5 linked regions of the Callithrix jacchus genome follow. The protein of the gene in region 3 interacts with the protein of the main gene of each other region in a biochemical or structural test. Links are inferred from orthologs where the notes say so. Each region holds a gene or a part of one and is shown on either strand. Other genes may lie near its edges. The genes, in order: FASLG, SOS1, NCK1, LCP2 and ERBB3.

Region 1 (6,140 bases), on a different chromosome or scaffold from region 3:
GCATTCCTACACCACAAACCATCTGAGCAACTAATCTGGCATTCAGCCATGCACCGGCAGGAAATGGAAGAGAGAACCACATGTCTTTATATCCCTCACAGAGCCTAGTACAATGTTATTCTCATAGAAGACGCTCACTAAGAATAGCTGCTATACAAATACTGGAATAAATAAACTGCAGATATATCCTAGACACTGGTGATGAGTGCTTCCTGCCCCAGGTTTTTTGCACGTGCCATTCCCAGCACTGAAATGCTCTCTCCCAGCCCCACCACACTCCACAGTACATGCACACAGCCCTTCACTCTGCGGCTTCTGACCTCCACGGGTGTCAGCATAAACAACACCTCCTTAGAGAGGGTTCTCCAGGCCATTCCATCTTAGGTTGCACTGAGTAACTTTGAAATTGCATGGTCTTTTTGCTTGCTTTTTTTTAGCTTCTTCACCATGCTAAAAGCTCCATAAGGACAGGCCCCCTGGGCTCACTCACCCTCAGTCAGCATCCAGCACCCAACATCTAGCCTCACAGATGTGAATGAATAAGATATTTAATTAGTTAACGGAAAAAAAATGGAAAATATAAAAAGGAGGCAATTAAAGAGTGTAAATAATCTATAATAGTATCTCTCAGAGAAAATCACTGTGAGTACATCAGTATAGAAAACTTTCTAGTTCCTTTCTAAGAATATAAATATGTGCATACATGCTTACATAGTCAGTATGAAACTAAACATACTCTTTTGTAACTTGTCTTTTTATCTAACAATAGAGTGTACAATCTCCAAGGCATTAAACGTCCTTCTGATATGTTTTTAGTTGCTGCTTATTAAGCACTTGTCTGAATACATCATAATGTATATGACTAACCTAGTATGAGGCATTCAAGTTTCTTCTGAATTGTTTATTATAAATAGGCTCATAAGGAAGTAATGAATATCCTTATATGTAAATCTTCAGGCACAGGCACATCTCTGATTATTTTCTTAAGATAAATTCTTAGCTATGGGATTACAACGTAAACTATTAGTTCCAAGCTTTTGATTGTATATCCAAAGTGCTCTTCAGAGAAAGCTATAGCAATTTACATGTACACTGGCTGAAACAAATGTTTGAACAGGCTCTTTTCTCTCAAATCTTTGTCAATTTGTGCTTTTTTTTAATTTTTACCAATTTGATGAAAACTTGATATTTCCTATTTTTAATTTGCATTATATTAATTTGAATCTCTTTTCTTATTAGCCATGTGATAATTTACCAATTTCTGGTCCATCTAGAGAAGATAATTGCTTACCAGGCAGATAGACCTGACTCATCTGATCATTTGACTTTTAATCACTAAACTGACTCAAGAGTGGGTGAAATATGAATAATTAGGTACCTATCAGACCAGGCACATTCCACAGATTTTCAAAATGATCTTATTTAAGACATCCTCCAGAGGCTTTATTTTTTTAACAAATATTTCCACTCTGCTTGTGTACATGTGGAAGTTCTAACATATAAGGATTAGGACACAGACACAGGAGCCAGAGCATCCAACAGTGGCTCCTACAAGAACCTAACAATCTGGGATAGCAGACAGGCGACTGGGTTGCCTGCAGTAGCCACATCCAGAGAAATGGGAACTTGCTCCACTTCTTGGCCAGTGCTGCCTTCTGCTTGCTTCTGAGTTTCTAAGGATGAGATTTACCTATTCTCTTTGCAGAGGTATTCTGCTTTTCATCTATTTCTCATTCCATGGTCACTACAGTCAGGAGTTTCCCTACTTGATGAGGCACCAGTCCATGTGCTGGAAAGCCCTGTAGGTGACAAGGCATCAAGAGCCCGTGTTCCTTCCAGCCCCAGTTCCAGACCAGTGTTCTTGGGCGTGTTCACCTAATCTGTCTGGTATTTTGTTTCTCTTCCAAAAGACAGAATGACTGGACTAGATATATTCTAAGCTTCCTTCCAACTCTAAAAATTCAATGAATCGCATTGTAAATCTAAATCTGAAATTTCAGTGAACCTTAGACTAGTGAAGTGTGCCGTAAAATCTATCTGTACAGAGCTTGCAAAACTATGCCCTGACATTTCATGAGATCAGTGTTCAACATGTCATCTTCTTGTCCTAGCTCCCATACAAAGGGTTTTCCTTTGTGATCAAGGGTACCTCATGACCGTCTCTGTGGGTGAAGCTGAATGTCCTTTGAATGATGGCTGAAGTCTTCCCCTAAGCTACTCAGTGACTTCAAGAAAAACCATCCTATTGTGGGCAATTGATTATCCTCATTAAAAGCATACATCCTATAAAATAGTTTATAAATTAAGCTTCACTGTAATCTCTTTAGAGAGTTTAAAAGAGGAGAGGACGTTTCTGAGAAACATCTATCTCTGCCTTCACCTCGCCTTCTCTTCCCAGGAGTCAAAGCCACTGGCATGTGTGCCACAACCAAGATGCCTGTGGAATGCGACAGACCTTCCTCAGGGGGCAAAGGTCCAAGTTGTGTATGTGTGTCTCCAAAGTCAAGTGAAAGTGATTTTGAATTGTGTGCTGTGCTCAGCTATACTGATTGTGAGCAATTCAATTGACTTCACATTTTTAAAGCAGCTCGAGGAATCATATTGACCAGAAATTCAGAATCAGCCAGAACTCCTCTCATAGCATACATAAGCCAAAGTGTAGGACAGAATATAAGGCATTCCATTAACATAGTTCAGTGCTGAGGATCATCTTTGGGAACTCATTGTACCCACAAAAAAAGGACTCACCTATTTGCTTCTCCACAGACGATACTGCATGCCTCTGGCTGGCAGACTAGTAAAAGAGAAAGAGAAAAGATGTATAAAAAAAATAAAACTCTTTAAGCAAAAGAGGCAGAATTGTCAAATAAACCAAGCCCTGGAAAAAGAATCCAAATACCTCAGAACTTTTGTTAACTCAGGCTTTGTCCAAGCAATTTTGCCTCACTGTCCCCCAGTTTTGTGATTTGGAATCATATCAATATTTTAAGTACTTTCAAGATTCAGTTTGGTCATCTGAACAAATTTACTTCCAAGCAAAACTTAAAAGTTTGGTTTGTTTGTTACTCCTTGAATCACTAGGTATGAGGCAGGAAGTGGTTCAACAGACTGAGTTGACACATGAGGAAAAGAAAACTGTTGGGCTCTGATGCTTTACGAAACAAAAAATATTCCCCTCACTCATGTGAACCTCCATTTCTCTGCCTATAGAATAGAATAACTAGAACAACCCATTTCTAAGGAAAAAAAAAAGAACTGAAAAGCACTTGGCAAGCCAGGCAGTGGGCCCTGCACCCCCTTATGCCAGGTGCCTCCAGGGCACGGCAGTCCACCAGCAGGCTTACCTCTCGGAGTTCTGCCAGCTCCTTCTGAAGGTGGAAGAGCTGAAACATCCCCAGTCCCAATCCTACCAAGGCAACCAGAACCATGAAAAACATCACAAGGAGACACAGGCCTGTGCTGTGGGTCCCTCCCTTCTTCAGGGGTGGCAGTGGTAATGGAGGCAATGGTGGCGGTGGTGGAGGTGGTAGTGGCGGCGGTGGTGGCGGCGGCGGTGGTCTCCTTTGGCCAGGCCTTCTGGGCACAGAGGTTGGACAGGGAAGCACTGTGCCTGGAGGGGCCCAGGGAGAGCTGGCACTGCTGTCCACCCAGTAGATCTGGGGATATGGGTAATTGAAGGGCTGCTGCATGGCAGCCGGTGACTCCAGCCAGCCCCAGCAAATGGTCTTATTTCTTCCTAATCCTGTAGAGGCTGAGGCGTCAAGGACAGGACTCCTGTTGCTGACTGCTCAAGAGAAAGGAAGCTAGATCTCTCTTATAGAGTTTCCATAGCTAAGGGAAACACCTCTCTCTCATTCTGCTTCTCAGAGAAACGCCCACTCACTTTGCATCTGAAACTGAGAAGTCTCAAGAAGCTCAGAGCAAACCCCTTGGAAGTTTCCGCCCACAATTTTCTTATGAAGGCCTTTGAAGCCCTAGGTGCTGTCGCTGGGCTACCCAAAAAGGCTGGTAGGCTGTGCTCCCCTTCCTTGGGTCCTGCAGAGCAGGTCAGCACTGGGATGTAGCCCTGTTGGTGTCAACTTCTCCCAGCTACAGGAGAATGGCCAGTGGAGATATAATTTTATGAATTATAATCGTATGCATTTTTATAAATTATCATTATATAATTTTAAGAATTCTACAATACATACAACCAAAAAACTATTTTAAAATCCCAAAATAACTCTAACAAAAATTGTTCAGAATCATATTTTTAAATCCATAAATTTTACTGCAAATGGCTCTGAGGTGAAAGACCATGAAGTCATGGCCAAAGAAGTCACTCCCACATTTTACTTTTTGCAAAAGGAAAACATCTGTTGCCATCATCCCTTCCCCACACACAAGTATCATCTACCCTGACCAGCAAATCACCATAATTTACAGAGTAAAAACCTGCTACACCCACTTTAGAAATTAGCTCAGAGGCTGCAAACCAGTGGAACCCACAGAGCTGCTTTGTATTTCACATGTTTTTCTTTTCATTGGTTGCCCACTTTATTTATTTATTTATTTAAAGAGAGACAGAGTCTCACTCTGCCACCCAGCCTGGAGTGCAGTGGTGCTACCATAGTTCACTGCAGCCTCAAAATCCTGGGCTCAAGCAGTCCTCTTGCCTCGACTCCCAAGTATCTGGGATTATAGGCATAGGTCACTACACCTGACTAATTTATTCTATTTTTTTGTAGAGATGGGGACTTGCTATGGTGCCCAGGCTGGTCTCAGCCTCCTGACTTCTAGAGATCCTCCCGCTTCAGTCTCCCAAAGTGCTGGGATTACAGACATGAGCAACTGCACTCAGCCAGCCCAACTGACCACTTTAAATATTGATACTAAAAATATTATATATTTTTAAATACACATTAAAAAAATATTTCTATTCTCTTTTGAAACATCAGAATGTCGGACACCCTCAAGGCCATGGGTAGCAGCTACCCCTGAGAATGAAGGACAGGTGTTCTGGGTCACCCAGCCTCCACCACGCCCCTGTGTCTTACACATCACCTCACCATCTGAAAGGCCTGCCTGGTCTCTGCTGACATTTCTTGTGCAGCCACTGTTATGGTTGCCAGATTAAACACATGGTGACCAATTAAATTTGAATTTCAGATAAATAATACATAATTTTTAGGGCAAGTATGTCTTAAACGTGTCCACACATGGAATATACTAAACAATTATTTATTGTATAATCTGACATTCAAATTTAACTCTGTGCCCTATTTCTTTGTTTTGTTTCATTTAAAGCAGGCCTCTCTCCTTGGACTCACCTCACCCTTTCTCCTCTGGCCTCAAATACCATTTATATGCCAATAACTTCCAAGTAGTTAGCTTCAGTCCTAATTATTCTCCAATATAAGCCATACAAATGCCCTGTAAATCCCACTTTGTCATTTTCTTTTTCAGGTTTATTACTTTTCAAATTTCATTAGTTTTTATATCATGCTTTGGGATTTCTGTGGCTATCATTCAGGCCCACTCACCTGTACCAAACCAATACCAAAGGTACTATTTCCCCGATGGATTCTGCCCACGCCAGCCCAACCCCATCCCCCCACAACCTGTTTCTCCTGAGGCCACTCTTTCTGGAGACAACTTCATCTCCTCTCTTTTCCTCTCCCCCAACATTTAACTGGTCACCCAGGATTGTTGCTTTTACCTGAGACCTGTTCCTTACCCTCCCCTCAATATAAGGTTCCCCCTGCCCCACCCTTGCCATTCCCATTTTTCTTACTGCTATTGCCCAGGGTCAGATTTTTATTATCTCTCACCTGAAATACTGCAGTGATGCCCTAACAGGTGACCTGCCACCAATTTTTCCCAAGCCCGAATCACCCAGTAAAATGCTACGAGAAAGACGTTTTAAAAAGCAAACCTAACGATCTCACTTCCCTGCCTTGTGTTGAAAGGTCTGATACCAGGAGTAGTGCAAGCTCCTTAAGCATTACCCAAGGCTCTTTAGCATCAGCTCCCACTGCCTCCTTGCCAGGCACTCCTGCTCACATCCCACTCGCCACTCTTAAACAGGGCAAGGGATGAGACTAGCAAGACTGTGCACGAGTTAACGAGCTTTTGAACTCATATGTGGCTTTATTTACCGT
Region 2 (5,550 bases), on a different chromosome or scaffold from region 3:
TTTCTTGTTTCCTTTCACAGGCAATGATACCGTCTTTATCCAAGTCACACTGCCCTATGGCCCAAGTTAGTATATTTGGCTTAAGACTCATAAATCTTGCTTTGGCTTTAAAAATCAAACCAAGTATAACCTGTCCTGCTAAAACTCTTCTTGGGTCTGGCAGCATTGGTACCTTGCTTGCAACGTCCTAGAAGTGAGGCCTTCACTTGTGCTATCTTTTGATCATAAATGATTTGCTTAAATTTATGTATTTTTCATGCTTTTTACAAAACCTCGTTTCTGTCTTAAAAGAACATATTAAATAAGTGGCTTCCACATTTAACCATTTCTTTTTTACAACTGTAGAGTTCTAAATATATTTTAATGCTCAACTTTGGGAAAAAAAAAAAAAAAAGCAAGAGCATGCATGCGCGTATGGGAATGCTGGCAGCTACATGCAGTTTCTAAATCACAAAATATACTTAGCCTGATAGTAGGATAGATTATAGACAACTGCTTTTAACTTTAGAATAACTTTCTTATAATTGTAATTATTCAAAGTATAGCCTAAACACTGATAAACAAAATAAAGCTCCATTTTAATTTTAAGGTAAACTAACAATTCACTAAATTTCATTATATTAATTATTTTAAGCTAATTAATATTTTTTACTGTCCTTTCATACAAGTAATTTTAAAATGTGTACAGTGGAAAATACTAGTTACAAGCTGAATTAACTGTATATTCTCAAGGGAAAAGGTAGGTGATCAAAATGTTGATCATTTTAATAATATCAGTACACAAAGTACTCTTTTTAAGATCTATATTGTTATAACATATAATTGACAAAAAGCTTAATGCTTAAAGGGAAAAAAACTGCCAAGTATAATTTTGAATGATGGTTTAAGTATTTTTTTCATGTCTTTTTTTATAGTGTGTATAAACTAACAACCGTGTTGTTCTCCAAAGTGTAATTATTTATATGCCTACCTTACATTCTTGTTATCATAAATGTCTGTAAGACAGGTTCCGATTAGTAGCTTTACTTACCTTTTTTGTGCCAGTTCACCAACTTAGGTTCACTAGATTTTAGTGTAATTTCTGTTTTCATTGTCAGGGCTGCCTCAGTTGTCTTGAATTGTGCCCATCATCGGTAAAATGTTTAGATTTAAAGTATAATGAGCCTCTTTTTGCTTACAGGCAAAGGAGAGCCTATAACTAAACAAAATGAGGAGAGCCCCCTCACCTAGACACTATGATTCTTTCCCTTGCATCCTTTGAGAGAAATGCTAGGGAGAGACGTTAGAGAGAGTGGTTAAGAGCAGGATCTCTACTCCCAGGGACTATCCAGTAAGGTGGGGAAGTTCTATAAAATCTAATTAAGTCAAAGAAAAAAGTGAACGCATTGTAGAGTCTTAAAAATTACCATTCCAAATATTTTCAGTAGCTCACTGTCTCCTAGACATCTGAGAATCAGATACAATTAAAAATTCCAATAACAGATTAACAGCGGGAATGTTACTTCGTTCAGGCAAAATAACAATATCTTAGGCAGCTTTTCTCTAAATATTCTGCTAAAAAATGTCTGCATGCTTTTATGGCAGTTTGCTTTAATAAATAAAATACTATTGGGTATTGGTTTATTGAACTGCTTTTGGTACTTCTATACATTACTTTTAATTATAAGCAGATTCCAGCTAAGCCTTTTCAAGATAAATAAATAAAATTCCTGTGAACTTTTTCTTAAAAATTTAACATCCTACAGGATCTGCTTCTGTATCATCTATAAGTTTAACCAAAGGCACGGATGAAATGCCTGTCCCTCCTCCTGTTCCTCCACGAAGACGACCAGAATCTGCCCCAGCAGAATCTTCACCATCTAAGGTAAACTGGGAAACCTTCTTATGTAGAAATTGGAATCATTACAGTTACATTATAAACTGCTTATGTCTAGTTTAGTTCTCACTGGGATAAGTTAACATTTCAAAGTATATGGGCTTAATCATTTAAACAAGGATTACATATGGATTTAGCATGCAGTAATGTTTATTTCTTTTCTTCTGAAAGTAGTTTTTTGGCATGCTTTCAAAACCTTTGTAAACCTAAGGCTATGGTTATTTTCGGGAAAAAAAACAAAAGCTTTAGTCTATAAAGTAAGAAGAGTTTGGTTTCAAGCAGTTCTTTAAAACATACAGAAAGAAAATCCTGAAGCTTTGTATGAAGGCACATTATAAGTCAAACTGTATCTTGGCATATGCTAAAAGTTATTTATCTGAGCCCTTAATAGTAAATCTGACATACTTTTAAATGGAGTTTTCATGAACATTCTGGGTTTGGAAGATACTGTAAAGGCTCAAAATAGCTATTATTTCTACTTATTTAAATTTTTTTCTTTTTTGGCCAGCTGTCAACTTAATTAGTTCTTAAGCTGTCCAGAGAACAGAGCACCAGGATAAGTCAAGATATTCTTTGTAGAACTTCGTGAATGTTCATATAGTTAAAATTATAAAATAGGTAATTTATGCTAAATTAGAAACGCTCTTAGATTGAGTGAAAAGCTAAGCAAGCAGTAGCAAACCAAAAAAATTGTGAGGAAGGAAAAACATTAAAGTAAAAAGTTCGGCAAAAAAAATTTTTTCTATGAATTGGCAGAACCTCCCATATGAAACATATGCCAGCCTTGGCAGCATAGCAAGACCGTGACCCTACAAAAAATGCCAGGCATGGTGGTGCATGCCAGTGGTTCTTGCTTCTTGGGATGCTGAGGTGGGGGGATCACCTGAGCCCAGGAGGTCAAGCCTACAGTGAGCCATGATTACACCACTGCACTCCAGTTTGGGCAACAGAGCAAGGCCCTGTTGCCCCCTCAAAAAAATTTTTTAATTAAAAAGAAAACATACGGCAAAATTACCTGTTCCACATTTAGCATCCTTCCAATAGCATGTTTGAAAACCACAACTTAATTCTTAATATAGTCATGATACTTCATAAATTTATTAATAAATGTGTATTTTATTCTTTTTTTCATTTGTTAGATTATGTCTAAGCATTTGGACAGCCCCCCAGCCATTCCTCCTAGGCAACCCACATCAAAAGCCTATTCACCACGGTATTCAATATCAGACCGGACTTCTATATCAGATCCTCCTGAAAGCCCTCCCTTATTACCACCACGAGAACCTGTGAGGACACCTGATGTTTTCTCAAGCTCACCACTACATCTCCAACCTCCCCCTTTGGGCAAAAAAAGTGATCATGGCAATGCCTTCTTCCCAAATAGCCCCTCCCCCTTTACACCACCTCCTCCTCAAACACCTTCTCCTCACGGCACAAGAAGGCATCTGCCATCACCACCATTGACACAAGAAGTGGACCTTCATTCCATTGCTGGGCCGCCTGTTCCTCCACGACAAAGCACTTCTCAACACATCCCTAAACTCCCTCCAAAAACTTACAAAAGGGAGCACACACACCCATCCATGCACAGAGATGGACCACCACTGTTGGAGAATGCCCATTCTTCCTGAGTTCCTCTGTACTGGGATGTATATTTTCCTAGCCCCAAATCCATTGCTGGCAATGGATGCACTGAATGTGCCAGCACTGAGGAGTTAAAATGAGAACTCCAAACACTAACGACTTTTCTTCAAGATGCAGTATAAGACAATGAATTTTAACCTAGATGTAATTATAAAGTGAAAATGGTATTCCAGTTTAGAATATGGAACGACTGACCTAGAGGAATTGGACAACTGATTGCACCTGAAAATCAAGTAAAGGGACTTTTTCTGGCCAATAGGCTGGAGTCCCCTTTTTGTGAAATGATCTTTATCATAAGGGATGGAAAACATAGTCTGGTGTCCAGCAGGCCCACCTGATGACCGTTTTTGTAATTCAAATTATGCACTTTTAAAAAAAACTTAAACAGGGATCTTAATATCTTCCTTTGTTTTCCTTTGCTTTACTCTTCTACTTTAGAATATTTTCTTAAAAATCACTCAAAGGACTGTGAGGAAAGGCTGTGGTACCTGACCTTGTTGAAATCAAGGCCCAGCACTGTACTACAGTCCTGTTTACAGATTATTACAGTGAACTGAATGGGTACCGAGGCTTCACCAAAGAGGTACTTTTTTTGTTGTTGTTGTTGTTGTTTTAGGAATAATTATATCAATTTTAAGAGCATTCCCCCTCACCTGTCCCCACACACCCAAACAAAATGTGGTGGTGTTGCCTTCAAAAAAGAGAAGTTTTGTGTCATTAACATGACAGAAGAACTTTAAAAAACAAAACCATCAAGTATTCTATTTGCATTTAGAAGACTGTTAATCTATGCTAGATTGTCATTTTCCCTCCTTCTCCCACAAAAGTTTACTGGTAATCGATGTCATGGCTCATATCTATCCCTCTAACCATACCATGGAAATGCAGGCACCCAATGTGAAAAGGAGCACTTGCTGGGCATCACTGACACTGTTCATGTTTTACTAATAGTTGAGTAATCAGCATATCTAGAATTATCTTGCATTACCTAAATCATATGTATATAGTGAATGTTATATAATATACCTGGCAGGTCTGTTTTAATTTAATTGAATAAAGATACAAATACTTTGTTTGGCTGGCATATATTAAATTATTATATGAAGAAAATGGTTGATTCTTTTTTCTTTTAGTTGAAAAACACACAAAAACACTAAACATAAAAGCACGTATTGTGGTACGCCTTGGTTTCTAGTTCTGGATATATGTCTTAATCCTAAAGAATGATCTAAAGTCACAGTTTGGCATATAGAAAGATATTTGGTTAGAATAGGATGGGTATCTTTTAAGCAGAACTTTGTAAGTTGTAAGTTCCTAAGCAACATGTATACAGTTAAGGTTTATGTGGAACATTCTACCTTGCTTGAGGTTTTCTGCTTTATCAAATCTATTCATAATAGAACATCTACCTGCATCATTACTATCATAATATGATTATTCATAAAGTGTGTGTACTATTCTTCTGAGTCTAACATATACTGTGACTGAAATGCATGCACCTTGTTGAAGAGAAAACATTTTATTAATCTCCACTATAACGTCTGTGAAATGTGCGGTATTCCATCCTTAGAGTTATGTGGTTCATCAGTGTCTGCGTGTATCCTCTGAATAATGAAACAACATTTCCACAATTCTGTTCACCACACCATTAGAGACATTTTTAGGAGTGCTGCAACATGGTGGGAACTTAGTACTTTAATAATTTCCTATATTTATTAAAGCGTAAAATATACATCACGATAGTACAGATGTAGTCCTTTAAGACCAGAAGGTATGTTAACTGCACCATCATTAAGCAGTCTATCCTATATTCTTATTTCTTAGAGTTGAATCCTTTTTGTTCACTATCTATACCATTCCTATGATGATAGCCATTTTTCTCTTTATAAAATATTTCTTCTTGAAAAGTGTCCTAAAAAATTAATTTCATATCCCTTCTTGGATGCAAAGTGTCCATAAGACCATCCACTCAACAGTATTTATCTAAGCCAACTTACTAGTGCTGCTACAGCTAATCATGATACACCGTC
Region 3 (6,319 bases):
TGCAAATAATAGAATATAGACAAAAAGTAGCTGTTGCCCAGTTTCACGGTCTACTTGTCCCAGCCAACCTGAGCATAAACAGGTAAATCTGTGCCTGACTTGCGATCCTACATATGGCAGACTGTCTTAGTCCCTTTAGTGTTGCTAGAATGGAAGACCCAAAGCTGGATAATTTATAAAAAAGATTTATTTGGCTTATGGTTCTGTCTGGAAAAGTTCAAGACTGAGCATCTGCATCTAATGGGGACCTGAGACTGCTTCCACTCATGGCAGAAGGCAAAGGAGAGCTGGTCTATACAGAGATTACATGGCCAGAGAGGAAACACGAGAAGAAAGGAAGTACCAGGTTCTTTTTAACCAGCTCTGGCAGAAATAAAGATAACGCACTTACCCCCTCCCCAGGGAGGACATTAATTTATTCATGAAAGAACCACCTCTATGACCCAACACTTCCCATTAGGCCCTACCTCCAACACGGGGGATCAAATTTCAACAGGAAATTTAGGGGGACAAACATCTAAATTATAGCACAGGCCAACCACATGCATGCATTACTACTTAAGCAAATAATTTTGAAGTTAAATGCAGAAAACTGCAAACTTTTGAGGCTGATAGCTAGGGCCAGGATTAAAGTAAAAAGTATTAATGCCTTAAACAAAATTTACTGACCATCTACCATGTGCAAGGCCCTAGGGAGAAACTGAACAGACACGGTTCCTGATTCAATGGAGTTTACAATCCACGTAGGGATACAGACAAACCATTTCAATAGCTCGGATGGAGAAAATACCTGTGCTCAAGGATACCTAACTCGGCAAGCTTCCCTGAGGAGCGACCCTAAACTGAACCACAAAGATGGTTAAGAAGAAATGAGGCAGCAGGGTGTGGTGGCTCATGCCTGTAATCTCAGTACTCTGGGAGGCCGAGACAGGCGGATGAGAAGGTCAAGAGATGGAAATCATTCTGACCAACATGGTGAAACCCCGTCTCTAATAAAAATACAAAAATTAGCCGGGCGTGGTGACGCGTGCCTGTAGACCCAGCTACTAGGGAGGCTGAGGGAGAGAATCGCTTGAAACCAGAAAGCGGAGGTTGCAGTGAGTCGAGATCGCGCCACTGCTCTCCAACCTGGCGACAGAGCGAGACCCCGTCTAAAAAAAAAAAAGGTTACTACGGTTTGCAGCACACTTACTGATGCTTCAGCCAGTGGCTGGAAACCTTATAACAGGCAGACCTAGCTCCGAAGATCCTCTTCATAACACTACTGTCGCCAAGACTGGAAGCTGCCCAAGCACGAGGGTCCTTTTAGAGGGACCTCAGACTCAGTTTATTTTGGTCTGTGCCTCAAATTAAACACAAGTCGGCCTGGCGCCGTGGCTCACGCCTGTAATCCCAGCACTTTGGGAAGACGAGGCAGGCGGATCACGAGGTCAGGCGATCAAGAGCATCTCAGCCATGGTGAAATCCCGTCTCTGCTAAAACACAAAAAATTAGCCGGGCGTGGTGGAGGCGCGCGCCTGTAGTCCCAGCTACTCAGGAGGCTGAGGCGGGGAATCGCTTGAACCCGGGAGACGGAGGTTGCAGTGAGCCGAGATCACGCCACTGCACTCCAGTCTGGGCGACAGAGCAAGACTCTGTTTCAAAAAAAAAAAAAAAAAAAAAGCCACATGTCTTACATTTCTCCCAGGTCCCAATTTTCAGGTCTTTTTATTTGTTTTTCTTTGTCCCTCCCTGCTCCTAAGCACCTTCGGCTGGGAAGACATTCTTCAGGTGCAGAAACCAGGGGGAGGCTCCCTGAACAGTGGGGGTTAGCTCAGGACGCTGTCATTTTTGCTGTAGAGTCTCTCCTGCAGCGCTGGGGCGGAAGGCTCAAAGTAACCACCCAGAGCAACCGCAGAGGGAAAACCGAAGACAGTCGTGGTCTGGCCTACCGCTTCTCACCCTCTCGCTGTCTTCTTTCCGCCGCGCAGCCTCAGCTCTTTCCACAGTACGAACGGCGCTTGATTGACAAGTGGGCCCGCCCAATCCCAGTGCGGCACAGACCACTGTCGCGTCAAGGACCGGGAAAGGGGGCGACTGAACCTATCAGATTGGGTCGGGAGTGGGTTTCCTGCCCGCGCGGATCCGCCTGCCCACCGCGCGTGCCCCGCCCCTCTCCCGAGAGCTACGCGGCGGTAGAGCGCAGGCCTCGTGCCGTTACGGTCATCACGGCGACCGCGGCGGCGTCCCGGTGCCTTCCTCAGGTGAGCTGGAGCTAGCCGGCACGGAAGACGGAGGGTGAGATGGCCTTGCTGGGAGGCCGACACACACACACCCCCTCCTTCAGTCGGCTGTCCGTCCTCACAGCCTGTTACTCGCTGCGTCGCTTCCTCTTCCCCCGCTGAGTTAGCCCCGGGGGCGCCGTCTGCAGGCTCGGAGCTGAGCCGGAGGGGATGCGGAGGCTGCTCGGCGGGGCCCGGACGTCTGCACTGGGATTCCGCGAGACCCTTGGGGCTCTGCCCCAGGGAGCGCGAACCCGTGGCCTCCTTGTCAGCCCCTGGAGCGCTGCGTCGGGGTTAGAGCCCGGGCGACCGCCCCTGCGAGGCTGGGAGGTCGAGTGTGCGGCTCGCTCGCCGGCTTGTCTATTTTCTACTGAAAAAGTCCTGTTGCCAGCTGTGGCGTAATCCAAGACCGGGAAGGTAGGGACGTGGTAGAAGGGAGGGCGCTCTCACCTCCAGCCCGAGAGGAGGAGGGGGCGGCAGCCTGCGCGGTGCTGAGGGTGGACATATTCGGGACGCGCCCTCGCCCCTCCCCCTACCCGCCGGCGGTTTTCTGGTCCGGGGCTTTGACTTTAAACGTCTGGACCTGCTTCACATTCGTACGCGAGTTGCTGGGGGTGTAAACTTTTGACTTGAGTTGTAATATGTTTGGTAAAAAAATTATCTCGATAGTTTTGTAACATTTCTTGTATGTTAACGTATAAGTTAAATTTGCCGTTAGAAGCTCAGGAAGCTGGATTTGTTCAGGGCTGAGGACGTAACGGTAGGAAGGCTCTCGGTGTCAAATCGATGGATCTGGAGTCAACTGAAAATAATTCTACACGTTATATTAGGTAAGAAGCCTTAGGAATTGTGAAAGAATGAGGTTAAGAAGAATTTCCAACTCCTTTTTGGGAGGGGAGCAAAGCAGCTCAATGCCCCAAAACGGGTAAGTGTTGCCAAGAGGTCCTCATTTTTTTTTGGTTGTTGCTGATTTTTTTTTTTTTTTTTTTTTTTTTTGAGACAGAGTCTTGCTCTGTCGCCAGGCTGGGGTGCAGTAGCGCGATCTCGGCTCACTTGCAACCTCCGCCTCCCGAATTCAAGCGATTCTCCTGCCTCAGCCTCCCGAGTAGCCGTGCTACCGTCGCGGGCCATTACCACCCCCAGCTAATTTTTGTATTTTTAATAGAGACGGGGTTTCACCGTGTTGGCCAGATGATTTCCATCTTCTGACCTCGTGATCCGCCTGGCTCGGCCTCCCAAAATGCTGGGATTACAGGTGTGAGCCACCGTGCCCAGCCAAAGTACTCATTTTAAAAATCTTTCTTGGATAGACTTACGGCAAACCAACAATAATGATTTCTTCAGCACCTGGAAAGCGCTATGTCTAAACTCTCAGCCTTCAGCGAGGTCACACAGTAAATGGGGAAATAACCCAATAAGAAAGTTTTGTTTGTTTGGTAATTGTCAACGTTTGTTCTTTTCTTTTTTTAAAACACTTTATTTTCTTGTGGGGATGGAGTCAGTGATGTTCTTAAATAGGCATTCCATTCACAACTTGATAGTAATATGCACTGGTTAATAAATGGTACTTTCTTTTCATCTTGACCACAAGCTCTGAGGCTTTCTTCTTTGGGAAAATTATGGTCTGTGGGAATTGGCTCTAATATCCATAAAGATAGATTGCAGAGTGTTCAGATCTACTAGCTGTTGGTTCATGTATTAAATTTTTAAATGTGTACTTATTTTTCTAGGCATTATCTTTTGTCCAGGTTTCTGTAGTGCTTTCAGGTCCATGTAAATAAAACTTGAAACCTACCTGTAATGTTTTGTTAGTTACTGAATGAGACCAGGCGAGGTAGTTCAAGCCTGTAATCCCAGCACTTTGGGAGACCAAGGCGGGAGGATAGCTGGAGTCCAGGAGTTTGAGATCAGCCTGGGCGATATAGTGAGACTCTGTCTTTAAATTAGAAAATTAAAAAAAAAATTTAAAAAGGAAAATAAAAAGAAAAGTGATATTAAGTGATGCTTTGTGTTTCTTGGTTTCTTTGAGATGGAGAAACATAAAGACTTGCTCTGTTGCCCAGGCTGGAGTGCAGTGGCATGATCTTGGCTCATTGCAACCTCTGCCTCCTGGATTCAAGCGATTCCTATGCTCAGCCTCCCCAGTAGCTGGGACTACAGGTGTGTGCCACCACACCCAGCTAATTTTTTTTTTGTATTTTTAGTAGAGACGGGGTTTCACTATGTTGGCCAGGCTGATCTTGAACTTTTGACCTCAAATGGTCCGCCCACCTGGGCCTCCCAAAGTGCTGGGATTACAGGCGTGAGCCACCGTGCCTGGCTGAGTTTCTTTTTCTTTTGGATCTCTGAGGACTTTCCTTTCAAAGCTGAAGGTATGTTTGATGTGATTATTACAAATCACTTGTCAGGAAGAATTGACGTAATGAATACAGGTGCAGTTCATTTTTAAAATTATGGTTTAATAATTTTTAGAATTTACCTTTATAATATGGAAAAATACCATACATTCTTTATCTGTACTGGAAAATTAAATGATTATTTCATTGATAAGTAAAATTGAAGGGAACTCTTGAAATCACTGAGCATTTAACAAATTCTCTGTAAATACCTTGATGTTAAGAAGACCACAGGGCTAAATATGACATTTAAAGATTAAGACAACAGTTATGTCTGGCTGATCCTCACCTGAAACTGTAACAAAGAGAACTAGTCTTCCCTTCAAAACTGATGCTGACTTGGTTTTGTTGACATTACCACGTTTTCAATTACCCAGATACAAACTTTGGTTTTATCTCCTAGCTTGTTAACAATATTGGACGATTTTTGCCAGCCATTTTTATCTTTGAACTACTCACTAGCCTTTAATTGGGTTTTCTGCTTGGCTTTTCTCTCTACTTAGTGTGTCCTGCCTAAATCTTAGAATAATGCTTCAAACACATCCTTCATTTTTCAGAAATCAGTGATAGCTCCCAGTTATCTTCAGAGTATAGTTCAGAATTCATGCCTTCTAACAGTCTGCTCAAACCTATTATTCTGGTGCCAGCACTTTCTTTTTTTTCTTTAATCGGTGCCAGCACTATTTCTTTTTAGGAACTATCCACTCTAACCAAACCAATCTGTAGTTCTTATTTACCCTTTGTATTTTTCTACCTTCATATTAAGTTCTTTTTCTTTTTGTGTGGAGTCTCACTCTGTTGCCCAGGCTGGAATGCAGTGGCACCATCATGGCTTACTACAACCTCTGCCTCTTGGGTTCAAGTGATTCTCCTGTGTCAGCCTTCTGAGTAGCTGGGATTACGGGTGCGGGCCTCCATGCCCAGCTAATTTTGTATTTTTCGTAGAGATGGGGGTTTCTCCATGTTGGCCAGGCTGGTCTTGAACTCCTGACTTCAGATGATCCACAGGCCTCAGCCTCCCAAAATGCTGGGATTATAGGCGTGAGCCACTTCATCTGGCCAGGTTGCCTAGTCTTTCAAATATTTTTCTCTTAAATTGCCAAGTAGGAAATCAAGGAAAATGTTGTGAAAGTTTCGCTTTTGGTCCTTTGGTGCAGCCTTCCAAATGTTTTTCCTGTTCGCTATGTTGTTGCTTTTCCTTTTTTTTTTGAAGACAGAGTCTTGCTTTGTTGTCCCAGCTGGAGTACATTGGCCTGATCATAGCTCCTCATTGTAACCTGAACCTCCCAAGGGCCAGGAATACAGGTATGTATCAATGCCTGGCTAATTTTTATTTTTATTTTTTTAGAGATAGGGTCTGACTTTGTTGTCAGGCTGGTTTTGAATTCCTGGCCTCAAGTGATCCTCCCATCTTGGTCTCCCAACGTGCTGGGATTATAGGGGTAAGCCACTGTACCTGGCCTGTTGCTTTCCTTTAAACCCATACCCCTTGTGGTTTTACTATTCCCTTGGTTTTTAATCTTATGTGGACTTGTATCATAGACTCAGAGCATTATTGCTGGAATGGTGGAATCCAACCTTGTGTTTTCTAGATAAGGAAACTGAAATACACATAGACTAGATGCACCAAAATTCAAACATCTAGTGATGGGGGCAAAACAA
Region 4 (6,257 bases), on a different chromosome or scaffold from region 3:
CAAACGTGTGTTTTGCATAAACAGAGAGAAAAATAATCCTGTTTTTTATGTTTCCTAGTTTATGACCTTGATTAGTCACTTAACTGCTCGTTAACCCAGTTCTTTTTTTTAATCAAGCAGGTTATTATGCTAAACTGAAGAAATTACTGTATCTGTATCTTTTCTGATTAGAGGTTCCATACTGTAAGGAACACTTATTCACAGGTATTTTGTAACCAGTGTCATGATGAAAAGCAGTTCACACAAAACATCTTCTATTTAGCCCCAACTAAATGACTCTCTATGCAAATTAAGAAAACAAATGTTTCAAACTCCTGGAATGGAGGTGGTGATTTATGGAAATGATTACCCAGAGGCTTTTCTTTTCACTTACATATGTAACTGTAAAATTTATTCCGTTTCTAAAAATTTACGTTTTCAGAATTCATTAAATGAAGAGTGGTACGTTTCTTATATTACCCGACCAGAGGCAGAAGCTGCTCTTAGAAAGATAAACCAGGTATTGTGCTATAGTTTATTTTAACATAGTTATACATATTCATGGCAGAAGAAGGGAACTGACTTGTCCTGAGTAACAGTTACGGGCTGGGAATTCTTCTAGGTGCTTTGCTGACTGTAATACCTAGGAGACCCATTACTGCCAGCTTCACAACTACAGCAACCATAGCAGGAATTCCTGGGCTCAGGAACCATTCAGCTGGCAGAAGAATCTAAGTTAAGGCAGTCATTTGGTTGGCAGAATCTTAGGAGATTTTATTAACAAAAGCGTCTGTCTTGTCATGGGACTTAAATGGTGTCAGAAGGAGACTCTCTTTCCCCCAAAGCTTCAACATTATACCAGCTCTAGCTTCCTCCTAACACAGATGTGCCATCCACATTGATGTGACAGGACCGATATTAAAGAAACAGCAACAACTTTTTGCTCTTTGTCTTAGACATTTCTAGGTAGCCTTTTAATAGCATAAGGTGTTAAGCATATTTCTCCTAGCCAGTCCCGAAACTTTACCTTAAATTTATTGATCAGAAATGGGAAAGCAAAGATCCTTCATCTTTCACATTTAAACTCTACAGCAGTTCTCAGTAGTAGTTGCACATTTAAATCACCTGGAGCGCTCTTGAAAAATCCTGATTCCTGGGTCTCACCTGGAGATTCTAATGATTCTGGAGTTCTGTGTCAGCTCTGGGAGTCTTCAAAACTTCCCAGGTCATTCTGATTTGAAGACAAGACTGAATCACTGGTCCAGAAGTGTTTGTTTAGCAGAAATGTTCTGACAGGCTCAATTAACTTGGAATAAAAGGAACAGAGGAAAGCCGTTATTGCCAACTCGTGGCTATTTAAAGCTATTCTGATTTGGTATGAGAAGGGAGTAGTTTAAAGGAGTCCTTACTAATTAATTTTATTTTAATATTAGATTTTTATAGTATTAATATTATGTAGTAATAATTTATTGAATGGAAATTTAAAGTACAGAACAGTCAAAACAGTAGTTTAGCAAATATCAGAAAAAAGAAAAGAGGAACATTTGCATTCAATTTTGGTCAAGGGTCTGTTGAAGCAAAGACTACCTAGAGACCACAAGATTGTAAAAACGGTGAATTTCATGGCATTTGGGTGTTTTCTGACTTTGGATGTGGAAAAGAAAGGTTAGGAATAGTAGGAAAATATATCTTGAGTTACCCAATAAAGTTTGTTATTTCTCCTGGCCTTTTATTCACTCAAGCACCCATTATTTATTATTGAACAAAAGATTCCTTTTTTTATCAAGAGACTTTAACGAGATTGACTTGGAAATTTCTCTGCTACAATCTCTGTTGCCTTTCTTGATAACAAAAAAAAAAAACTCGTGACACATGGAATCTGTAGCTGTTTGGAGAACCGAATGTTCGTTGAATGACAGGTTTTGCAGTCAAGAAGCTGCAAACTGCAACTGACAGGTTTGTCAGATCCCTAGAGGCTTGTCTACTACTCTTAGAAGCAACAAAAATATTGACTTTCACTGCTCCCATAATAACAGGAATTTATCCTTTCAGGATGGCACTTTTCTGGTTAGAGACAGCTCTAAAAAAACAATAACCAATCCATATGTCCTCATGGTGTTGTACAAAGATAAAGTTTACAACATCCAGATCCGTTATCAACAGGAAAGTCAAGTTTACTTGTTGGGAACTGGACTCCGAGGGAAAGAGGTAAGGATTTCAAATTTCAACATTTCTGCTAAATCTTCATTTATGCCTCTCTGCATCTTTTCATGGAGCAATCTTTGGGATTCCAGGCTGTATGGCGAATTTAGAGTTAAATAACATTAGTGAAGTCCTTCATTTATTGGAAGAGAAATAAACCAAAATGTTTACAATAGTTACTTCTGCCATAGGATTCCTTCCTGTATGTCTTTTATTCCAAATAATCACATGTATAACTTTTAAAATCAGGAAAACGTATATTAACTTTAAAAAATCTATTTAGAGATGTCAAAGACAATTTCCTGCTATTATTCACCTCTGTGACATAATTTTAATGTAGGCTGCATTTTAAGTTGACACCACTTGAAAAGGAGAAAAATCAGAATACTTGCTGTGGTGATTAATTTGGCTCATTTCTTAACAAAATGGAGGGTTAGCCCCATGAAGATGACCAGGTTGCCAAAGAAATTCTTCTCAGGCTGAGGTTTAGATTCTCATGCTAATCACTTTTTGAGTGGTAATCAGAACTGGTAGAAAGAAACCCTCGGGGCTAGTTTTTTGCAACTGAAGGTAATGCCCCAAAGAAACTCCAAGTTCAAAGTTCCAAGAGGAGGACCAACTGAATGAAACATGTCCAGAATGAGAAACAGCTTACCCATAACTTCTGATTCACATACTTTTGTTATGATAGTGTTAATGACTAGAAAATAATGCATGCTTATGGTCAAGTGTTTGAATCACTGGTTGGCAGTGGATAGAGCTGCACAGACCCTGTAGAAGCAGAGGTATTTGCCTTCAAGCTTTATCTTGGTCCAGTGTGGAAGCACACAGGTGTGCAGAGGACTCATTGCAGCTGTCATGGAGGGAGGCACCTAGCAGATTAGTCTTAAAGGAAGTGCATTATCCCATTAGGGTTCCTATGTGAGTTGTGACCCATATCCAGAAAGTTGAATTAGGCTTTTCCCTGTCTGGCAATCAAGGCTGGGGTGATACAGGCTATAGATGCAAAGACTTGGCTGCTGAGCCCTTATGAGTGTGGAGGTGGCAGTGAGGACACAACAGAGAATTCACAAAGGAACTCCTGTGCTATGCTGCAGATCCTACCTCTGGACACCGTGTACTGTGTCTGACCTCCTGAGTCCTTATACCTCTTAACAATATTAATGACTGGGGGTGAAATAGAGATACGGAAACCGAAACCAAAACCAAGACCAAAAACAGAGCAACCCTGCGGCAAGGATACTGTAATCATGACTATTTAAATGACCCCTCCATATAAAGTTAAAAATATATGCATTTCAAATTACGTAACACACACACACACACATATACATTTGATCTTTTTTTTCAAGATGGAGTTTCCCTCTTCTCGCCCAGACTGGAGTACAATGGTGCCATCTTGGCTTACAGCAACCTCCACCTCCTGGGTTCAAGCAATTCTCCTGCCTCAGCCTCCCAAGCAGCTGGGATTACAGGTGCATGCCACCACACTCAGCTGATTTTTTTTTATTTTTTAGTAGAGACAGGGTTTTACCGTGTTGGTCAGTCTAGTCTCAAACTCCTGACCTCAGGTGATCCATCCACCTTGGCCTACCAAAGTGCTGGTATTACAGGCATGAGTCACCATGCCCAGCCCTTATTTTATCTTTTATCCATGGTTTGTTGGATGTTTTGAGGAATTTTTTTGAAAGCTCTATAGCAGAAATCATTGAACTACTTGCCACATTTTACATATTTTTCCCACAATCCTCATAACTTGAAGAGGCAGGATATATTATGCAGATGAAAAAACAGGGTGAAGTTCATGCTTTTCATTCCAATGCTGACTCATCTCCCTATCTTGACTCTTTCAGGACTTTCTGTCTGTGTCAGATATTATTGACTACTTCAGGAAAATGCCACTTCTGCTCATTGATGGGAAAAACCGAGGTTCCAGATACCAGTGCACATTAACTCATGCTGCAGGATACCCATAGCAAGTTATAGTTGAGCAAATGAACCGTCCTCCTGCCTCTGTTGCCAACATGAGATCAATCAGCTTTGGTCAACTGATAAACACTTAGGACTGAGTTTAACCCTTCCCCATGAACACAGGGGTATTATCCTTTCCTTTAAAAACAGTGTTTGAAATGAAGACTGTCAAATTCCCATAATTTATTTATTCTTCTTCAATGTTTGTAAAGTGCATGAGTCATGTTCACACTTCATGTCTAGTAATGCACTGTAATAATTCACTTTTTAAAAGTTGTTAATTTTTTTAATATCCATTTCAAAATACAGTAGTTTACACAGCTACAGAAACAATTTGGGGCAAGTTTTAAAACACTGAAACAGTAATAGTTATTGGCATCACATAAAACTGATTTGTTGCCAAACCTCTGTCAGTCAGAGGCATTCATTAGTTCTATACATGTAATTTGAAAATGACTAAACCTCATTTTCTCAGCAGCAATAATTTAAGAGCCTTCAAAAATACAATTTTATTCTTCCTTATTTGGTATTTTTTCCTGGGGGAATTTTTATGTAATTTTTTATGAAAAGATAAATGCACGTTGAGATAACTTCTGAGATTAAAATAGTCTTTTGCTTTAACTTTTTGGTTTCCTAAAACAACTTTATTGACTTTTAGTCCATACTGTTATATTTTTGTCTTAAAAAATGTAAACTACAAATAGCAAAAGAAAACATTTTTAATTTAGGGATGAGACTTTGGTGGATTGTGGTTCTAGGTTTAATTAACACATCTGGGGTTAAGTTGGCATTTCTTCACATCCCCACACCCACACCAACATCACACACACCCCCACCTTCTCCCAACCCCAAAAACATTGTCCAGGGATATAGATTTTACCAAAGACTTCCTGGGAAGACAAGGGAGCAACTTTAAATTTGTTCAGACTTTCCTATTCGGTATGGCTGTTCAATCTCTTATCATCCCCCTGACAGCTCTGCCATAAAGCCCTTTCTCCTCATCCTTTCCAAACAGGCTGTATAAGTGCTTTGAAGTAATTCAGCTCTTTCCTTTAGTTTACAAATCTCACTTAACAAAACGTATAGGCATTCAGCCAGATTAAAAACTAGTATTCAGCCAAACAGTGACAATCAGTTTTTTCAAATTTTTCCCTTTGGGACCTTGGTTATTATTGAACAACTTTTATTAGCAACAATTTTTGGCATTTCTGCTTAATCTACAAGTTTTCAGAATGGAAAAGAATATCTTGCATCTTCATCTTCATGAACCAATAAAAAGAATATTAGAAGGAATCTAAGAAGTCACCAGTTTAAAACTGATGATAGGCTAAGATAAGGAGTATATGGAATGTAGAGACTTTTAAGTAATAATAAAAATTGTGTTTCCCAAAATCTCATCCTTAACCAGAAGTTCTCAGTTTAGGTCCAAAACTTGGGAGTTCTAAGGTTGAAAACCCTGCATTCACTTACATGTCTATAGAACAGGCTATTCAGCAAGTATTTACTTAGTGGCTTTTCTGTGTTAAACAAGTGAGCTAGGTGCAAGGTAGTCAGGATAGCATACACCATAGGTTCTAGCATGGAGTAAGCTCACTTATCTTGCTTCACTGTATTCTATTCTTAGGGTTCAAAAATATGTAAAATGAAGGACCTGATAGATTTCAAAGCAACTATTTGGTAGTGAATCATGTTTATAAAGCAAACACTCGTTTTAAGTCTCCTGGTGGAAAGGGCAATTAGGATTAAGATGTTCTATTCCACGGCTATGACTGAAGTCCACGTTGGGAAGCTGATGTTTTCATGACTAGCATTCTCTTTCAAGCACTGGCAACTCCTTTTGGCTGGGCCTTGCCTCTTTTCTTGTAAGTGACCCCAGATATATCAATGGGAGTTGCTCAGAACACCGCTTAGTGATAAATATCTTACTAAAGCTGGGTCAGTCAGAGTCACTCTCTGGAATGTTACACATGAAGCCTGAGACAAGATCTTTTATCTGGGGTCCCCAAAAGGCAATGCTATACACCTGGATCTGTCTGCTGCCCTGCAACTACTCCCATTTACCAATTAACTGTTAAGAACCAGTCTGCTATAGAAGAGAATGAGGC
Region 5 (5,550 bases), on a different chromosome or scaffold from region 3:
CCCAAAGTGGATACTTTCAAGGGCCATCCACTTAATTGGAGTCTGTGGATTCAAGATAGAGATATCACGTTTATTTCCACAAATTTTTTTGAGACAAGCATTTCCAAGTCTCAAGTTCTTTTTTTTTTTTAAAGACTAGTCAAGTGCAGTAGTGAGAAGGGGGGAAAGAGTAGAATAAGGAGTTCGATCTGTAACTGACTGTGAACAATCAGTTGAGATAACTCACTACCTTCGGACTAGCCTTTATTTTTATTTTTTTATTTTTATTTTTGAGATGGAGTTTCGCTGTTGTTACCCAGACTGGAGTGCAATGGCACGATCTCGGCTCACGGCAACCTCCGCCTTCTGGGTTCAAGCAATTCTCCTGTCTCAGCCTCCCAAGTAGCTGGGACTACAGGTGCGCACCACCATGCCCAGCTAATTTTTGTATTTTTAGTAGAGACGGGGTTTCACCTTGTTGACCAGATGGTCTCGATCTCTTGACCTCGTGATCCACCCGCCTCGGCCTCCCAAAGTGCTGGGATTATAGGCATGAGCCACCGCGCCCGGCCTATTTTTTATTTTTTTGAGATGGAGTCTTGCTCTGTCACCCAAGCTGGAGTGCAGTGGCAGTAGTGTGATCTCAGCTCATTGCCACTTCCACCTCCTGGGTTCAAGAGATTTTCCTGCCTCAGCCTCTGGAGTAGCTGGGCACTCCACCATGCCCAGGCACATGCCACCATGCCCAACTAATTTTTGTATTTTTAGTAGAGACAGAGTTTCACCATGTTCATCAGGCTGGTCTCGAACTCCTGACCTCGTAATCCACCCACCTCAGCCTCCCAAAGTGCTGGGATTATAGGTGTGAGCCACCGTTCCCGGCTAAGTCCCAAGTTCTTTTTTTTTTCCTGCTAGGCATCTTTCATGTTACCATGTTGGTTTTTTCCAACCAAATTCTTGATCATTCTTTTCTTTGTTGCTCTCTGAACTAAGATATCTGGCCATCTGCAGCCTCCTCTCTTTGAACTTACCATGAAGCATCTGCTTGCCTCTGGAAGAGACCACTGACTGCTCTCTATCCCCATGCTTCACTCCACCCCCACCACCTTACCCAGCCCTTTGTGTCACCTCACCTTGGCCTCACTGTATAGTAGCTGCTTATCATCAGGAGGCAGCAGGTCAGCCACACCAAAATCTGCCACCTGAACCTGACTGGGTGACTTGAGTAGCACATTTCGGGCAGCGAGGTTTCTATGCACCATACCATGTTCCTCAAGGTAGTACATACCCTGTAGATACAGGGGAAGAAAATATTCTTAAAGTTGGGGGAATCAGTCACTGAGATCTGGAATTCCCCCAAATCTTCCAGGTACCTCTCAGCAGTAGTCCCCAACCTTTTTGGCACCAGGGACCAGTATTGTGGAAGACAGTTTTCCTGGTAGAAGGGGAGGGTTGGTTTTGGGATGAAACTGTTCCATCTCGGATTATCAGGCATGAGTTAGATTCTCATAAGGAGTGCACAACCTAGCTCCTTCACATGCACAGTTCGCAATAGAGGTCACTCACGCTCCTATGAGAATCTAATCCTGCCGCTGATCTGACAGGAGGTAGAGCTCAGGCGGTAATACAAGTGAGGGGGACTGGCTGTAAATACAGATGAAGTTTCACTCACTCGCCTACCGCTCATCTGCTATGTGGCCCAGTTCTTAACAGGCCATGGACCAGTACCAGCCTGTAGCCGGGGGTTGGGGACCCTGCCTCTCAGAACTTCAACCTTCCCACTTTTTCCTGGCCTGCCCCCAGCTGAGCAGTTCTTATCATAGAACTCCTCCAGGCTCCTTTCACCTTGGCAATTTGTACTCCCCAGTTGAGCAGCAGCTGTGGCCCCAGTGCTTCCCGGTGTTGTCTCACATGATCCAATAGAGAACCCAGAGGCAAGTATTGAGTGACAAGCTGCAGAGATGACCCTGGGCATAGTCCTAGCAGCCGTACGATGTGGGCATGGTCCAGGCTGCCAATGGCCAGCATATGCTAAGAGACACAAAAGGTGTTATCCAGGAAACCAGCAGGTTCACATACACTCAGCATGTGCACAGCCAGCCCAGGGGACCCCCAACATTCAAGTGCATCAACGTGGCTAACACAGTAGCTGCTGAGAAGCACAGGACCATGCTTCTACATAATTATATCTAATATTATCCTCTCTCCTAGCGACATGAAGAATACCCTTCACTTACATCTGTCACAGCTTGAAAACTCTGCCGTCCACTCTTGTCCTCAATTACTTTAATGCAGACTGGAATCTTGATTGACTCACCCTCAGGGATCCACACTCCCTGGGAAGTTTGGGATAGGAGTCAGCATAGGGTCATTCTCCCTTGGTCAGTCCTTTGGAAAAATCTTTCACCCCTTTGCCCTAGATGCTTTCCCCACCTCACCAGAATTCCTATAGGACTCACTTTGTGCACAGTTCCAAAGACACCCGAGCCAAGCACTTTAAGCTTCCTCAGCTCTGTCTCTTTGAAGATTCTGGCCAAGACTTTGTTAGCCTTCTCACTGGGGTCCAGAGGCTCTATGCTCTAAGGAGCAAATGGAAAGGAGGTACTCAGGAAAGACCATTCCCATGTCCCACTCCAACCCGCTCTCCAGAGGTCAATGCCAAAAGTAGCGAGCCAAAAGGGCAGGAAGAGAAATCATCGTTAGTCCTGGAAAACATTATAAGCATATTGAGGAATAACAGACCTTGAAGATTGAGGAATTTATTTGTGCTCATGAGATCGGGAATCAAAGGGGTTGGGTTTTCCCTTTGACGGGGGACCAAGAAGTGGGGTAAAGGGACAGCTAGGGAGAGCTGGTAATACTATTACCACCTTGACTACCTTTTATACAGTGCTCTGTGTTTTCCAAAGCACTTTTACATCATCTCTCTTTACGCTTACAGCCTTCCTGGAAGGATGAATGTTATTTCCTCCTTATAGATGCATAAACTAAGGCACAGAGAAGAGAAGTAACTTCTTCAAAGTCATGTGGCAAATTAATGGCAAAATCGGGACTAGAATGCATGCCTCCCACTTCTCTGACCAGTGTTTTTTCTAGGGGATCACACTACCTCCTTGAAGAAAGGGATCAAATCCCTGAGGAAAGATGAGGGGAGTGACATTGATCCCATCACTGACCACTGGGTACACAAGGTACCACTAAAAATTAAGCTATAAAGAGATTTCAAGGGCATGCAAAAAAAGAAAAGAAAAAACAAAAGTAAACTAAGTACTCACCTCACCCCGTTCCAAGTATCGCCTCATAGCCCTTTTATTCTGAATCCGGCGCCCACGCCAGTAGAGAAAAGTGCCACCCAGGAACATGAAAATCATTACCAATCCTGCTATCACTGTCAGAGCCATTGTCAGGTGGGTTTTGCTATGGGATATATAGAAACCCAACATTATTCTGGGTTTTCATCTTCCTTACAAATGTCAACTATACTTGCGCTGAAGGTATCTGGCAGATCTGGGGCAAGAAATTAGCATTCACATATATATCCTTAAGCACTGAAGGGACCAACCTAAATCAGGACCACTCTTTGACTACTGCAGTTAACTTTAGGAAGGGAAGTCCAGAAGCCTGCATTCCAGTGATAGTGGACCGCGTACATTCAAGGCCAGAATGAAGACACCCTCGCTCTTCTCTCCAGGTAACCACCTCTCTCCCAACTTCCCAAATATCCCCAGTTTCCAGAATCTCCAAACCCATCCTACCCGATCAGCACCAGTGTTTGTCCTCGACAGTCTTGAAGCTCTGGTCCTTTACACCTAGGGAAGGAAGTCACCACCTTAAATGAGAGCTTGGACAACAGAGGCTCAATTTCAACAGCCTCGGCCGGGCACAATGGCTGAAGCCTGTAATCCCAGCACTTTGGGAGGCCGAGGCGGGTGGATCACGAGGTCAAGAGATGGAGACCATCCTGGTCAACATGGTGAAACCCCGACTCTACTAAAAATACAAAAAATTAGCTGGGCATGGTGGCACATGCCTGTAATCCCAGCTACTCAGGATGCTGAGACAGGAGAATTGCCTGAACCCAGGAGGCAGAGGTTGCAGTGAGCCGAGATCGCGCCATTGCACTCCAGCCTGGGTAACAAGAGGGAAACTCCATCTCAAAAAAAAAAAAATTTCAACAGCCTCAACATACAAAACTTACTTCAGAACTTATCATGGCATCCCATCCTAGAGTCCAAAGCTGATCCCAAGACATGGCCTCTACCTCCAGCTCACTAGCTCTCCCCAAGCCCCTCTTGAGTAAAACTCCCTTGAATTGTGGTTATTCCAGGTTCCCAAAACTGTGGTGCAATTTTGTGCTGTTACTGATTTTCCCTTTCTTCAGTCCTTCAGTACACAGCTGGGAGTGATTCTTAAATCACAGCGTCTCTCTTCTTTCTGCTTCCCTCACCCTATTTCTGTGCTCCTACCCTTCCACCTGACCCCTTCTTATCATCCCATCACTGACCCCTGGGTGCAGTTCTCATGGCAAGGCCGACATTCATTCTGAACATCTGGGTACTTGTAGATGGGGCCTTTGGCACCTAGGACTCCATGGGGGCAGCTACTCACACAGTGGGGCCCATCTCGAAAATGGGCACATTGAACACAAGTATCAGAGCCCTGAGTGGAAGAGAGAAGGTCAGGATGAATCAGATCCAAGGTCAATTCCATACCTCCCAGCAAAGACCAGCCCAGACATTCCGAATCTTCTATCTGCAGACCCTAGCATTATCTGTTCTCTCTGTGCTCTCCTTAGTCATATCATTCCCCACATGCTCCAAGTATTGCCCCTTCTCTGTCTCCCTTGGAGATCCTGGTGCTGCTACTATACCGAGCCATTGCATGTGGCAGTTCCCTCCATGGGCTGGCATTCCGGGTGGCAAGAGAAGCATTCGGACTCATGGGCAAACTCTCGGGGCTCCCTGCATCGGGGAATAAAGGGAGGGGGGTCACTTCCAAGTCCTGACCTTCATGCCCTGATACCACAACCACAGGTCTCCTCTCTCACTCCCACCAAGGCATATGCAGAAAGCTTTCTAAAGGCTTTTATTATATGCTACCTGAATAGTTCCATTGCAGGGTCTCACCCCCACCCATCTTTGACTGGCTCCCATCACTGTACCCATTCAGAAAGTTGCAGTGGGTTACACAGACACCTCCTCGGCTGTAGTTTCGACAGGACAAGCACTGACCAGGGCCCGGGCCCCAGCATCCCCCAGAGGAGCACTGTGGGTCACACACTTTGCCCTCTGCCACTGGAAAAGAAAGGATAGATTAGGAGAGAAGTCTGAGGACTCCCAGCCGGCCCTCTCCTCATTACTCTTTCTTGTTACTGCTTCCATCTTAACATCCCCCTTCTCCTTGATTCCATCCCTCAACCCTACTCCCACGTGTGGGCAGATGAATCCTTCCAGCCCTCTCCTCCCTGACTCCCTGTTCTCACCACCCAGCAGACCCTTTCCCTCACCGCATTCTCTGCGGGGCCGATTATGCTTGATGTCTAGTCGCTCTTCTGAAGGCCCCCGAAGCAGT

What was found.
Region 1: the proteins of NCK1 (region 3) and FASLG form a complex in vitro, tested with the Homo sapiens proteins (2 studies listed by BioGRID and IntAct, with this or other methods). The link is inferred for Callithrix jacchus from reciprocal best matches to the Homo sapiens genes NCK1 and FASLG.
Region 2: the proteins of NCK1 (region 3) and SOS1 form a complex in vitro, tested with the Homo sapiens proteins (2 studies listed by BioGRID). The link is inferred for Callithrix jacchus from reciprocal best matches to the Homo sapiens genes NCK1 and SOS1.
Region 4: the proteins of NCK1 (region 3) and LCP2 form a complex in vitro, tested with the Homo sapiens proteins (2 studies listed by BioGRID and IntAct, with this or other methods). The link is inferred for Callithrix jacchus from reciprocal best matches to the Homo sapiens genes NCK1 and LCP2.
Region 5: the proteins of NCK1 (region 3) and ERBB3 form a complex in vitro, tested with the Homo sapiens proteins (2 studies listed by BioGRID and IntAct, with this or other methods). The link is inferred for Callithrix jacchus from reciprocal best matches to the Homo sapiens genes NCK1 and ERBB3.

What each region holds. Positions count from the first base shown.
Region 1 is NC_133519.1:30,107,690-30,113,829, forward strand, and holds the start of FASLG (tumor necrosis factor ligand superfamily member 6), read right to left. Parts: upstream 3,791-6,140; 5' UTR 3,690-3,790; coding exon 3,345-3,689; intron 2,795-3,344; coding exon 2,749-2,794; intron 1-2,748. UniProt on the Homo sapiens protein: Cytokine that binds to TNFRSF6/FAS, a receptor that transduces the apoptotic signal into cells. Involved in cytotoxic T-cell-mediated apoptosis, natural killer cell-mediated apoptosis and in T-cell development.
Region 2 is NC_133515.1:76,024,106-76,029,655, forward strand, and holds part of SOS1 (son of sevenless homolog 1), read left to right. Parts: intron 1-20; coding exon 21-65; intron 66-1,745; coding exon 1,746-1,864; intron 1,865-3,015; coding exon 3,016-3,507; 3' UTR 3,508-5,550.
Region 3 is NC_133518.1:47,381,492-47,387,810, reverse strand, and holds the start of NCK1 (SH2/SH3 adapter protein NCK1), read left to right. Parts: upstream 1-2,159; 5' UTR 2,160-2,243; exon of another isoform or gene 2,244-2,678; intron 2,679-2,986; exon of another isoform or gene 2,987-3,091; intron 3,092-4,465; exon of another isoform or gene 4,466-4,633; intron 4,634-5,870; exon of another isoform or gene 5,871-5,962; intron 5,963-6,005; 5' UTR 6,006-6,099; intron 6,100-6,319. UniProt on the Homo sapiens protein: Adapter protein which associates with tyrosine-phosphorylated growth factor receptors, such as KDR and PDGFRB, or their cellular substrates. Maintains low levels of EIF2S1 phosphorylation by promoting its dephosphorylation by PP1.
Region 4 is NC_133503.1:62,495,030-62,501,286, reverse strand, and holds the end of LCP2 (lymphocyte cytosolic protein 2), read left to right. Parts: intron 1-421; coding exon 422-499; intron 500-2,031; coding exon 2,032-2,187; intron 2,188-4,034; coding exon 4,035-4,157; 3' UTR 4,158-4,773; downstream 4,774-6,257. UniProt on the Homo sapiens protein: Adapter protein primarily involved in signaling pathways within T-cells, as well as other immune cells such as platelets, mast cells, and natural killer (NK) cells.
Region 5 is NC_133510.1:63,573,106-63,578,655, forward strand, and holds part of ERBB3 (receptor tyrosine-protein kinase erbB-3), read right to left. Parts: coding exon 5,486-5,550; intron 5,274-5,485; coding exon 5,141-5,273; intron 4,941-5,140; coding exon 4,850-4,940; intron 4,639-4,849; coding exon 4,484-4,638; intron 3,789-4,483; coding exon 3,735-3,788; intron 3,397-3,734; coding exon 3,255-3,396; intron 2,559-3,254; coding exon 2,439-2,558; intron 2,316-2,438; coding exon 2,217-2,315; intron 2,011-2,216; coding exon 1,825-2,010; intron 1,269-1,824; coding exon 1,113-1,268; intron 43-1,112; coding exon 1-42. UniProt on the Homo sapiens protein: Tyrosine-protein kinase that plays an essential role as cell surface receptor for neuregulins.